2 linked regions of the Drosophila melanogaster genome follow. The protein of the gene in region 1 interacts with the protein of each later gene in a pairwise test. Each region holds a gene or a part of one and is shown on either strand. Other genes may lie near its edges.

Region 1 (4,574 bases):
TCCTACAGGCGCCAACTTTTGATCTTCTTCGTTCATTTTTTCTTTTCTGCTTTCGTCCTCGCTTTCGTTCTCTAGAATTGCTTGTATTTGGTCGGTGTTAAGTTTTTTATTTGTAGGTGGTGTACGTGTGAACATTCCGCGACAAGGCACTAACACCAGCAAACAACGACAATGTTCTAACGGCGCGACGGTAGTCGATTTTGCAGACGGCGCCACCGGTTAAAAGACAAATTTTGATTTTCGTTAGAAACGAATTTCACCACCTTTGCAATTTAATTGTTTTAAATTCCACAACAGCAAAACGACTTGAGTCTGTATGAGTTCAATCGATTTTTTCAACTTTCAATGCAGTAGACGTAGCCATAACTTTACAACTTTAAAGACTAAATCCACGCACACGACAATTTCAACTTTATCAGTTCTCTCTAGCAGCTTTCCCGACTTTTACCGACTTGTGTTCAAACAAAATCTGTACAACTGATTTTTCCAACTTTAAATGCAATAGATATAGCCACAACTTTACAACTTTTAAAGACTATACCCACGCACACAACAATGTCTTTTTTCTTTAAACAACTGCACCTTCATATAACCGATTTAGGACTGGACGAGCCCCCATGTAAGATTGTTTATTATTATTGTTTATTATTAATTTAATTCTAAATGCGGTAATTATATAAAGTATTCTTAGTTTGTGACCGAACGACTGCTGCTGAGAACTCGACTGACTGCAACGCTGACTTCCACTCCACTCCACTGCTGCCTTGCGATCGTTCCTTCGATGACTGATTGTCGATAACTTCGATTTCCGACAATCATGTTGCTGCTCAACAGCGCTGCCAACCGGGTTGTTGCCAGCCTTCAGCCTTACTCCATGTTACATATATGTATATATTTTTATTCTAGCTTTCTGGCATTCTAATCATACGCATTGTTTACTATTGGCACCTAGGATATTTCGCTTATTCTGCTACCACTTAAGATCTTATCTGCAAACCCGTCATCTAGTCTGGGACCTATAGCTCGTAATGGTGGAATCCCTGTCTGAGACTAGCCTACTTAAGTTGAGTAAGGTCTCCTGTCCTTATCTTATCAGCTGCTAATTCGCCCATAATTATAGCTTAACGATCGCCTCGCCATTTGATAAAATAGCAATCTAGTGCCCGGAACTAAGTGATTGTAATTGGCTCTGGCGATTGATATAAAGCACCTGGCTAACTGCCGGCGCTTTATTTAGCCTCTGATAAGAGCAAACGATTCGCACCCGTCATTGTTATTGTTTGTATTTGTACACAACTATTGCTCCCACGAGACTGTGAGTTATTGGATCAGCAATTTAACTGGCTTGGCTTCCCATTCGGCCGTAAAACTGTCAATAAACCATTATGATTGACTACCGCTTATGAGATGAGCATCTTCAGCTGGAAAATTAAGTTACTTCATTTGTTTTCATTTCTAAAACTTCCTCTTCTAGTTTTGGAAGTATATGTATAATTTTTCTAAAAATGTTTGTTTGTTTTTTGTTTTTATTTAATATTAATATTTACCTATGCAAAGTTAAAAAATCTAGGTTTACATATTTTAAATAGTTAAGAATCACATTTATTTAGATGTAGACTAGAGGAATAGTAAGAGTATTGGCTCTTTCGCGCCCTCAAATATGTGGATTCACTTTCGATGCCTCCATATCCAAATCATTCTTATTGAAGAATGCAACATATATGCCTAGAACTCGGTTGCACCACTGCCAGCGGCACGAGGAAAGAATTCAAGTTTCGGAGGAGCCTGTTTGACGATTTGGCTTGTAAACTAGTTTCGCAGCACAATTTTGTTGAAGCTGCTTATTAGCTGGCATTGCCAATTTTTTGAACATGCAGTTCGGTGACTTGAGGTGAACGCATTGGTCGTTGCGCCGCTCAATGACGATAAAATCGTTCAACTTGGTGGTAAAGGGTGAGGAGCTGGTACTTCAATGCGCGTGTCAAGTTCGTTGCAAGAGTCATTTGTTTTCGCAGGTCCCATGTGGGGCGTTCGCCACCTGCAGGTACTGTTCCTCTTTCTGTGCGCCACCTTGATCGTGGCCCAGAGGTTCAACATGAGCGTGGCCATTGTGGCCTTTACGAATGCCAATAGCAGCAACCCAAATTATCCGGAATACCGACTGACAGAGCCTCAGAAGTCGTACACCATCAGCAGTCCCTTCTGGGGCTCCTGCTGCACCCAGATGATGAGTGGATACCTATCGAGTCGCTTTGGAGCCAAGGTGCTGCTGCTGACCATCATGTTGCTCACCGCTCTGCTCAGCATTGCCACGCCCTTCGCCTTGGCCTGGGGCGGCTGGCAGCTGCTCTTCTGGGTGCGATTCGTCCAGGGACTCGCCATGGGCGGCATGTGGCCCTGCCTGTACACCCATCTGGCCAAGTGGTGTCCCAAGAAGGAGGCCAATCGCATGGGCGGCATCATGACCACTGGCTTGGATTGTGGGACAATAATGGGATTCGCTTTGAGTGGCGTACTCTCTGCATCGCCCCTCGGGTGGCCCAGCACATTCTACGTGCCAGGTGAGTTCTATATAGATAATCATTTACTCCTTAGACAGCCCCGGGTAACAGAAACAACTGCGGAACTCTTCTAAAGACACGTTAAACTAGCAGTAAATCCTAATGACACTTTTATAGCTGTATTTATCATTTTACTTACCTACGACATAACTCTAAAGCAAAAACTGATTAAGTATGGTTTAGGCATAGGTTTTAGCTTATATACTATATTAAATAGAACACATATATTTACCAAGTGTTGATTTCAATTTCAGGATACTTAGGCATCGTGTGGTGCCTTACTTTCTTGCGATATGGCGCCAACAGCCCATCCGAATCGAAATTCATTTCTCTGGCGGAACGAAAGCACATTCAATTTGCCCTCGAGCAGAATCAGGTGATTCGCGGTGCAACTCCTCCAGTACCGTGGCTCCAGATCCTCACCTCTCGTCCATTTATCGTCCTGGCGTTTTGCAAAATGAGCCAGGCGTGCAGCTTCTACACGCTGATGCAACAGATTCCGCGCTACATCCACGGTATATTCCACTACAGCATTGCGGCAAATGCCCTGCTCTCAGCTCTGCCCTTTGTGGTCATGCTGATGTCATCCTACGGATTCATTTTCCTGGCTGAATACCTAACCCGTCGTCGAGACATTTCATTGCCTATCCTACGGAAGACCATTAATTCCTTTGCCACATGGACCCCTGCTGTAGCCCTGGTTATCCTATCCTACGTCAGCGATCAGAATGTGGTGGGCAGTATGTTTTGTCTGATTGCAGCCACAGCTGCCATTTCCGGACAGGCCATTGGCAGTTCCCTTAACCACGTGGACTTGTCGCCAAACTTTGCTGGACTCCTGTTTGGGATGAGCAACACACTGATGTCTGCGGCTGGTGTGATATCGCCAATCGTCATTGGGCTGACCGTAACCAAAGAGGTAAGTAATTTGGATAGTTAAGTAAATTGATTAACTTTATTTTATTTCAGTCGGATCGATCGCAATGGCGAACAGTTTTCCTTGGCATTTCGGTGATTCTGTTCCTCGGCAACTTGATGTACCTAATCTTTGGTCAAATGACCGTCCAGTCCTGGAATGATTCCCCATCCAAAGAGACCGAAACAGAAGCATCACCAAAGCCCCAGGCATCGGCTCCCTCAGTTGCCGAGGAAACGATATCCGTCGAGAGATTTAACTATTTGTAAATGTATATTTGTAATAACGTAATCAGTGCTAATGTTGTTGTATAAAAACAGTTTAAAATCACAATGGTATTTATGTCACGTATCTCCTGCTGTGTGGAAATCGGTACGACCGAAATTTGTATCTCTAAGATAATAAACGGAGGAATCGTTGATTAAGGACATCACGATGGACTTGAAGCCCAAAATGGATGCCAGCTTGTATTTGAGAACCACGGACTTGATCAGTCCCACCAGCTGAACCATCGACTCTTCCTGTTTTGAGTTCGTGGCATTACTTTGGATGTGCAGCAAATAACTGAAATAATATAATCATAACAAGGAGGAAGATAAAGTCAGGCCAGCCAAACACATACCCCTTAACAATCTGTTCGATTACATCATCATTGATGCGCTGATGGCACAGATATTCCTGCAGATAATTGACTCCCTGAAGCACAACGAATTGAGACAAGATGGCTTCGCTCCAACTAATATCATAACCATAGGCGCGACTCAGAATCAGAGCTTGAGGTACGCTAGAATAGAAACATAATGACAACCAATTATTTAAATAGTTAGTCCTTTGATGTAAAGCTTTTGCATACCTTAAATGGACGTTGACTAGCTCCCGAAACTGTTCCCTAGAACGCACTCCAATGACGCTGACACACAAATGATTCGCGTTATTGCTGTGCCTTTTTTCGAGTGCTTTGTTGCACAGATCCAGTTGCATGGCCATCAGCTCGGCTCGAGAAACACTTTGCTGGGCGAGCAGAAGCTTGTTATCCAACAAATAGTTCTCCGTTGCATGTGTGTAATTTTCCAAGGCCTGTTGCAACAGTGTTTGAA
Region 2 (7,841 bases), on another chromosome or scaffold:
CGAGTGAAATGTGAAAAAAAAATCATAATAAAAGCAAGGATAATATGGCAAGCGAGTGGTTTGGCGGATGGGTGGAGCGTTGAAAGTGGTGCCGCCGCCCAAGCGGAAATGGATGCGCATCACAAAAGTGGCACAAATTGTGTGGCATGTGTGAGACGTTGCATGCGGCTATAAAAGAGAGGAAGATATAGTGTCTTTAAATTGTTAAAAGCACGCAACATGTCCCTCGAAAATAACTATAAATTTAATTTTATATTTAATTTATGTAGGAATCAGCATCACTTCAAACTTTCATCGATCAACACAATATCGAAATGCAACTCTGCATTTCAAACATATTATGATCTACCTATTTAAATCACACTTTATTCATCAGCGTACCTTGATCATACTTTTCATTTTCTGATATGCTGAACATTTTCGAAATTCCACATCTTTTGACCGCCCCAACTTGCAACTTATTCGAGGGGCTTCCCCACTGCAACAGCCGCTGTTACACGCTATAAAACCAGGTCCCTTTTCCGAACGGATTGCCATAACAACCGTTAACCGAGTTGTATTCAAAATCTCGAGCTGAGTCGAGTCCAAACAAAAATTAAAAAAAAAAAAGGTGGAAGGGAAATGCGACGACCAGAACCAAATCCAAAGTGTAAACATTCACAGCCTCCGTTGGGTGAGGGAAAAATGGATTTGGTGTGGGTTTTTGGTGGGTGATGGCGGGGAATGCTAGACAATGCCGAATGCCAAACGCCCATACCCAAACTCCCTGGACAGAAACAGCTTCCTTCCGTGCTGACGTTTGATGTGCAGCCATGGGAGCTTTTCTTTTTTTTTTTTTTTTTAATACTGCGAGTGGGTGGCAAACACGCAACCAACGTGTGGCAACAGCTAACAACTAGTGCAAAAAAGGACGAGCCAAAAAATGCGGTATTTATTTCAAACAAGCTCAGCCCAGCAAACTGCAAAAAAAGCTACACGAGTTTTTCAAAGCTATTGCTCTGGATTCAGATTCCATTGCCGATGGCAAGTTGCAAAGATGCACAGCCGAAAAATGCTATAGCCACTGTTAAATGTTTAAATAAAATCCACATACCTTCATCATAATTATTTATGATTATTTAAGTCTTAGCACTGAGTACTAGAACAAACAAGTAACTACACACAACTATACCAATAACAGTGAAATTTTTCCAGTGATCTTCGTACACAGACACACGATGCAATTGCTTGGCAACAGCTTGTGGGGAGGTGTCGCTAATGAAGTCGCAAACAGTCGGTGGCAGCAAAAAATTAAGCAAAGAAAGCAACGCAACGCTCTACATATCCAACCGCATCCGCATGCCTTCATTGTAATAGAAATTATAAGCTTATCCTGCTCAAACCGGCCCATCACCCACCTACTCCCGCAGTTGAGCTGTCGTTTTAGCAACACGTTGCCCGTAGCCAAGGACTGCATCCATTGTTCCACTGGCAACATCCGCCAGAGATTGGTAATTGAAACCGGGGAACGTTGCCCGAGAAATGTGGAAAAAAAAAGTTCCATCACAGTAATAAATATAACACTTATTCTTGAATTTAATTCTTAGAATTTTGATTTATGATAATGCATGATATGATAATGCTTTGTGTTCCGAAGCACATAAGCCCCAGGTTGGGCGCCAAATAAGCAGTTCATTACCTAAACAAAACCATTTTAAGAAGGTCTCTTTACTTCCGTTTCCCAGTCGATCTTTAACGTGTAAAATTTGGCAAGACTGCACCAACCGGAAGCGATCAACCCATAGACCAATGAGCTTACGTCTCGCTCTAGTTTTGGTCGTCTTTTTGAAAACTTTTTACCTTTCTTCGAGGGTGGTTTCCATGAACACTTTAGCACTGTTGCTGCTGGTGATGTTGCTACTGCTACTGCCACAGTCGATGTTGCTGCTGCTGATGCGCACCACCAATGCCACAGCGACTGTGGCGCACCACCACCCACCTAGCAGCTCTGCTGGCGCTCTGCTTACGCCTCGTTTCATTTACAACAATTCATAATTTTAAAATCGCACCGAACTCGCCTCGTTCTGGTTCTGGTACTCGGTCTCTGTTTTTCTGTTTCTGTCTCGGCCTCAGGACTCGTTGGATGCTGCTCTGCTTTCCTGCTGTTGCCGCTGCTGGCACTCATTTCATTTGATTTTTAACTGTCATCGACGGCAGTTCAGACCGCTAGCAACGCGTTACCCAAGCAGTGCTTATATTATTTTATATATTTTTTTTAAGTGAAATAAGTTTTAAACAAATATATCTATCAATATAGTAATCATAGGTGAGAAAATTGATCAGCTCGCAAGATCGGATTTGAATGTGTTAAAAAAACGCGTCTATAAAAAATATTATTGTGAAAATGCAATCAATGATTATATTCCAACTTAAGAACTCCTCTTTTAATAAAACACAATTTGGACATTCTTAATAATTAACCTGATATTTTAATAAGGTTAATAATAAGCTAATAAAATCTTATATATAAGCTTCATAAGGCATTCGTTTACAATTAAACTTTTCGATCAAAGCCTAACAAACCCAAGAACTTTACTAATCTTTCTTGAAACATTTAATCCAAATGATTAGAATAAAACCAAAAATACTTTATGCACTTCAGTCAGTCTATGAACCGAAACAATCCAAGCTAAACTTCAAATTTTCATTGGAGAAATTATTTAGCCATAATTCAAACGCATCCAGGGGTTGCACTTTACTTCAACCCTTTGCAAAATCCCAGATCAATCTACACGAAGAACCTGTCAGAAAGGGTTCAACGCAAATTCGATTTTGAAAAACGTTGTGATGCATGCGTATCTCTGGCAGCGGGCAAAGTTGCAAATGAAATTTTGTCAAATTTTCAGGCAACCCAAACGGACACGAATACGGACAACATACACGGGACAGAGTTCCCCGGATGCGGGGCAGGGGTAACTGTCTGCTGTAGCCGACACACATGGACAGAAAGCCACAAGTGGCACATTATTTTAATTCGCAGTCAAACGCTGTAACGTTAACACCACAACGCCATGTCACCAACAAACCAACAAGTTCATTTGTCCCCATATGTGCGTGGATATGAGCGGGGTGGCTTAAACACAGGGCAGGAACAGGCAGGACGCTTAACGAGCAAGGGTTAAAAATGTTATTTATTAGTCATTTGAGCGATCTAGTTTGGTCATAAAAAAATTTTTTATATTTAAAATTATTAGCTAATTTCAGATTTACATTCTTAGGCAGCTACATATTTTCCAATTCTTCATCCTTTGAAACTATTTAACTAACCCGATAACAATCCACTGTTCATAAAGCCCCACATTGGGCGCCAATTACACGATACATCACGCTTTACAAAGATTACAACCGCGCCTGAATGGCACAAAATGCGAACATAGACTTCGTTCAGGGTTGCACACCAGGTGAGCACGAGGAGGGTTGCTAACCAACTCCATGGGTGGGAAGATGAACTCCAGAGTGATTTCGGAATGAAGTGGCATGGGCAACTTATCGCTGTTTGATATGCAGTAATTATGTTATAAGGTTGCCCAGCCCAAGTGCCAGTTAAGTGTACGCTTACAGGGGTTGCCCGCAATCCCAATCGGCTCTTCTATTTTCCGGTGGTGGCTTAAATTTAACATCGATGATGCGACATCAATCAGCTGGGCAGCCTTGAGTGGGTGGATCACCACCCAAGGGGAATCCAGTGGAGGGATTACTTTCTACTCTGGTTTTAATTGCCACGCTGTTTGAGAAGGGGAAAAAAAAAGAATTTCGCAAAAGTTAGTACTCAGCTTATCCCCAGACGAAAGACAAACAAAAGTCGGATGCACTTTGCGCATTAATCTCAGCTCCATATTTTTAGTTCTCGGACTTATTCTCAGCTGCAAAACTTATGCACAAACTTGGGCATGGGCCATAAAAGAAAGTTGGCCGACAGCTGCTGATTGAATATTAAAATGCTGCCAGTTGCTCCAGAGCCACCACAGCCATAACCAATTTAAAAATGAGAAGAGAAACTGGCAATTAAAGCTCTGCCCAGCATCAATCAGTGCCGGGGAAAATCAACGGAATTTCCACCGAGTACCAGATGCCGGGTTGGCCACGCCTATCACCGCCCACAACCACCGCGCCTTAATTAGCATAATCTAATTTTAACTTTGTCGCAAAAATGTCGCCCTAACCAACATTTTTACCTCTCACGAACAACGGCTGCCAAAAAATGCAAATCAACACCCGTCCGTTTGAAAATCTCCGCCTCCGAAACCCCCAATCATATATTCCTTTTGCGACGGTTGAAAACTTTATATATTTTTACAACGAAATGAAAAAACAATATAAAAATAAAAAATTCCACAAATCCAACATGGAATAACGGAAAAAACAGAAGGAATGCAAATGAATGTTCCAAGCAATCGTATAGAAGCTGATGATACCTAAAAATGCAATATATTCTATAATGAATAATTGCAAATTATGTTTTTCGTTTTCGAAAAAACCATAGAAACCATAGAAGGAAAAAATCATGAAGGATTAATTCAAAGTTCACAAACTAAGTAATGCCTTCAAATTGTTCAATTTGTGTACTCCTTGATATTACTTTCGTTTTATTATAGGGTATTCGGTAACAGGCGTCGTCTGTGGGTTGTTAAAAACTTTTTAAATGCGAAAATGAAAGAGCAACAAGGCAATGGAGTCGTGGAAATGGGGGGGGGGGGTCCTTCAATGCGTGATTCTGTACTGTTCCTGGTTAGAATTGACAGGCACACAGGCGGCACAGGATACAAGCAGCCAGGACACAGCGTCAAGTGCCTCAACAGTTTGGCAACACAACAATTGAGTTTGTCCTCCAACGTTCGCGGAAATGGAGGCGGCAATGAGGGTGGTTGGGTGTCACTGCTGTTGAAACATTTAATTTACTGGAATTTGGCGCGATGTGTGTAAGCTTATTAACAGCTTTTAAGGGATCAGCGGGGAGTTGGAGACGGAAAAAAAATTATGGGGATAACGGAGAGTGAGGGAACTTGCGCGCCTGTTTTTCTATGCAAATTTCATTTGTTTTTTGGGTGCTGGGCACAGATGTTGGCTTAATAAAGTTATAATAAAGGTAGCTTAGCTGACGGCAGCTGTGGAACAATGGATTTGATGCACATGGCAGTTATGCTATTACAATTATACGAATACAGGACTCTAAAGGTTGCGGGCTTGATGCTTAATGCTTGAACTGATTTCTAATCTACTTTTCTATCAATTACATTCCATTTGCTAACATCTTGGATTTTCAGTCAATCTTAAGACGCTTTCAAGTTCAACACCAAGTCCCTTCAGTCATTATTTAGACTTCCTTGCCAACCGAGAAAACTCACACACATTTATACATCGAGACAGATTCACTCGGAGCAAACAGAAAATTCAGATTTAATTGTCCCGTGGGTAATGGTTGGGCGGGAGCATGGAAAAGGCGGTGGAATGCCAGTCCAAGACAATGCAAATATATATCCCTATACAAATATAAATTTCAAGTGACTTCAGCCACAGAACTGAGCCAACGTCTTTTGTGTGTTCTTAACTTTTTTTCTCCAACAGCAGCAGCAATGAAGGACAGCAGTAACAGCATCTCGTCGAGCAACACAGCAGGGATGCCATGCTCAACGGGAGGAGCAGTAGCGTCAGCAGGGGTAACCACCAGCAATGCCACGCCCAGTGCGCCTAGTACGCCCACAACAGCAGCAGCAGCAGCAGCAGCAGCGGCGGCAGCAGCATCTGCTGCAGATCCAACCGCAACGAATCCGCAAAATCCGCAGCAACGCAGCAAGAGCAACATCCATGAGCTAAGAAATCAGGACTACGTCAGTCGTTTAATGGCAGCCACACCACCGTATTTGTATTCCGCACCCGTGGGACCAAATAATTTCTTTTTCAGCGATATGCTGCGTTCCTTGGTGCAAGCGCGAAATAATGAGACGGCGCGTGTCTTGCAGCTGCAGCAGCAACAGCAGCAGCAGCAGCAGCAGGCACAGCAACAACAGCAGCAGCAACATCAGGCCGCCTTGGTGAGGCGGCCAAGAAAACGCTCCTGGTCGCATCGTCCATACTACGAGCAATTGCGGGAGCGACGCGATGCAGAGGAGAAGCAGCAGCAACACCAGCAGCAGCAGCAGCAGCAGCAGCAACATCAACAGCATCAGCAGCAGCAACATCAGCAACTTCAGCAGCAACTGGTGCCGGAGAAACCTCTAGAGCTGACCAATAAGGCAATGACACCCTATGGCTATGCCAAAATGGAAACCAAACCAGGTGCTATGGGTATAACACCGCCAACGCCAACGACGGCACCACCAACGGCTGGCAATAAGACTGGTGGTCTGGGTGGTGCCGTCGACACTAACCTGCAGGACAATACACCGCCGGCGGCATCGTTGCCACCACAGGATTTGGTCCTGCCGCCACCACCACCGGTTTGGTATCCACCACTTTATGCACCCTACGGCATCGATCCGTTGCACTTCTTCATCGATCTTCGCGTTTCCGGACATATATACGATAGAAAGAAGGAGAATGTCTCACCGCTTTCGAGTAGCAATAATGCACTTGCCGAAGAAGGTTCACCCGGCTCGTGTTCCAGCTCGGGCGCCACTTCCGCTTCCGGTTTGGCCAGTAATTTGCTGAGCAAACAGCGTCATGGCTCCGCCTTCACTGTACCCATACCCAAGGCGGCCCAAAACGATGCCATCAATCTGTGCGCCAATGCGGCAGGATCAAACGCCGGCGGTGGTGGTGCAGTGACCACCAGCACATTGGGCAACAAATTCGAGCACTATGCCAAATACTATGATCTGGGCGAGACTAAGGAAAATCAACCGTCCAGTACGGCTGCTAATCTTTCGGCAGCCGCTGCTGCCGCTGCTGCAGCTGCAAACTTATCGAAATCGGGCGCCAGCTATATGTTGCAACATCTGCCACGCCTTTACAGTCAGTTTGCCGCCCATCAGGCGCAGGTGCAGAGTCAGGATATCGATGCCAAGTCGGAATCGGCATCGGTTAGTGCCTCACTTTCGGCACCCGATCTTTGCGATGAAGATTCACTGGAACGAAATTCCAGTGATACGGGTGCCGGTTTGGAGGGAACGAGCGGCAATCAGGGCAATTGTGACATCGATGTGGAGATCATTGACTCCATCAAGTATCGCACGGATGGCGAGAGCAGTCGATGTTCCAGCAATGACGAGGCTTCCATCACGCAAATCGATTGAGGCTACTTATTTAAATAATACGAATAAAGTTAATGTGTCCATAATATGATCATTGTTTATTTCATTTTCTACAGAAATTGGTGGTTTTGAGAAGGTAAGTAACTTGAAGAATAAGAAGAAACAGTTACGCGCTCAATAAATGCTTATACAACAAAATGATAGAGATCTATCAAATCAACGTTTCTTTGCAAATAAACATGACAGCTTGTAACTGAAACTGTGGCCCAAGTTGAAGTTTCCCTGCCCCTAGAAATATGCAACGGTAAAAGTAATTTCATAAATCATTTCACGCCGTCGTCGTCGCCTGTTGGTTCATCTTCCACGTATTTGCTGCCTTAAGGCATTTTTTAAATGTCGTTGCACGAATTGTCGAGCTTCAGGCCCACCAACGTTGGGCGCCACATAAAAAAGGAGCCTTCATCATACCGCCACCGAGCATTACACGCCTGACTACGCTTTGTGTAAATTAAAACTGCTGCCGGCTGCTGCTGCTGACGATGACAATGCCACCCAATTCCCGCCACAGTTCTCTTGCATTCCTCGTTTTTTTTTTTTTTTTATTCTTTTTTC

The links.
Region 2: the proteins of CG3649 (region 1) and CG15478 interact in a two-hybrid assay, tested with the Drosophila melanogaster proteins (one large-scale study listed by BioGRID).

Annotation. Positions count from the first base shown.
Region 1 is NT_033778.4:22,844,098-22,848,671, forward strand, and holds CG3649 (uncharacterized protein), read left to right. Parts: upstream 1-1,879; 5' UTR 1,880-1,919; coding exon 1,920-1,953; intron 1,954-2,015; coding exon 2,016-2,561; intron 2,562-2,815; coding exon 2,816-3,480; intron 3,481-3,530; coding exon 3,531-3,746; 3' UTR 3,747-3,814; downstream 3,815-4,574. Other genes in the region: CG13531 (uncharacterized protein), read right to left, coding at 3,822-4,041, 4,100-4,261, 4,331-4,574.
Region 2 is NC_004354.4:7,712,255-7,720,095, reverse strand, and holds CG15478 (uncharacterized protein), read left to right. Parts: upstream 1-2,163; 5' UTR 2,164-2,305; intron 2,306-4,979; exon of another isoform or gene 4,980-5,125; intron 5,126-5,604; 5' UTR 5,605-5,612; coding exon 5,613-7,271; 3' UTR 7,272-7,313; downstream 7,314-7,841.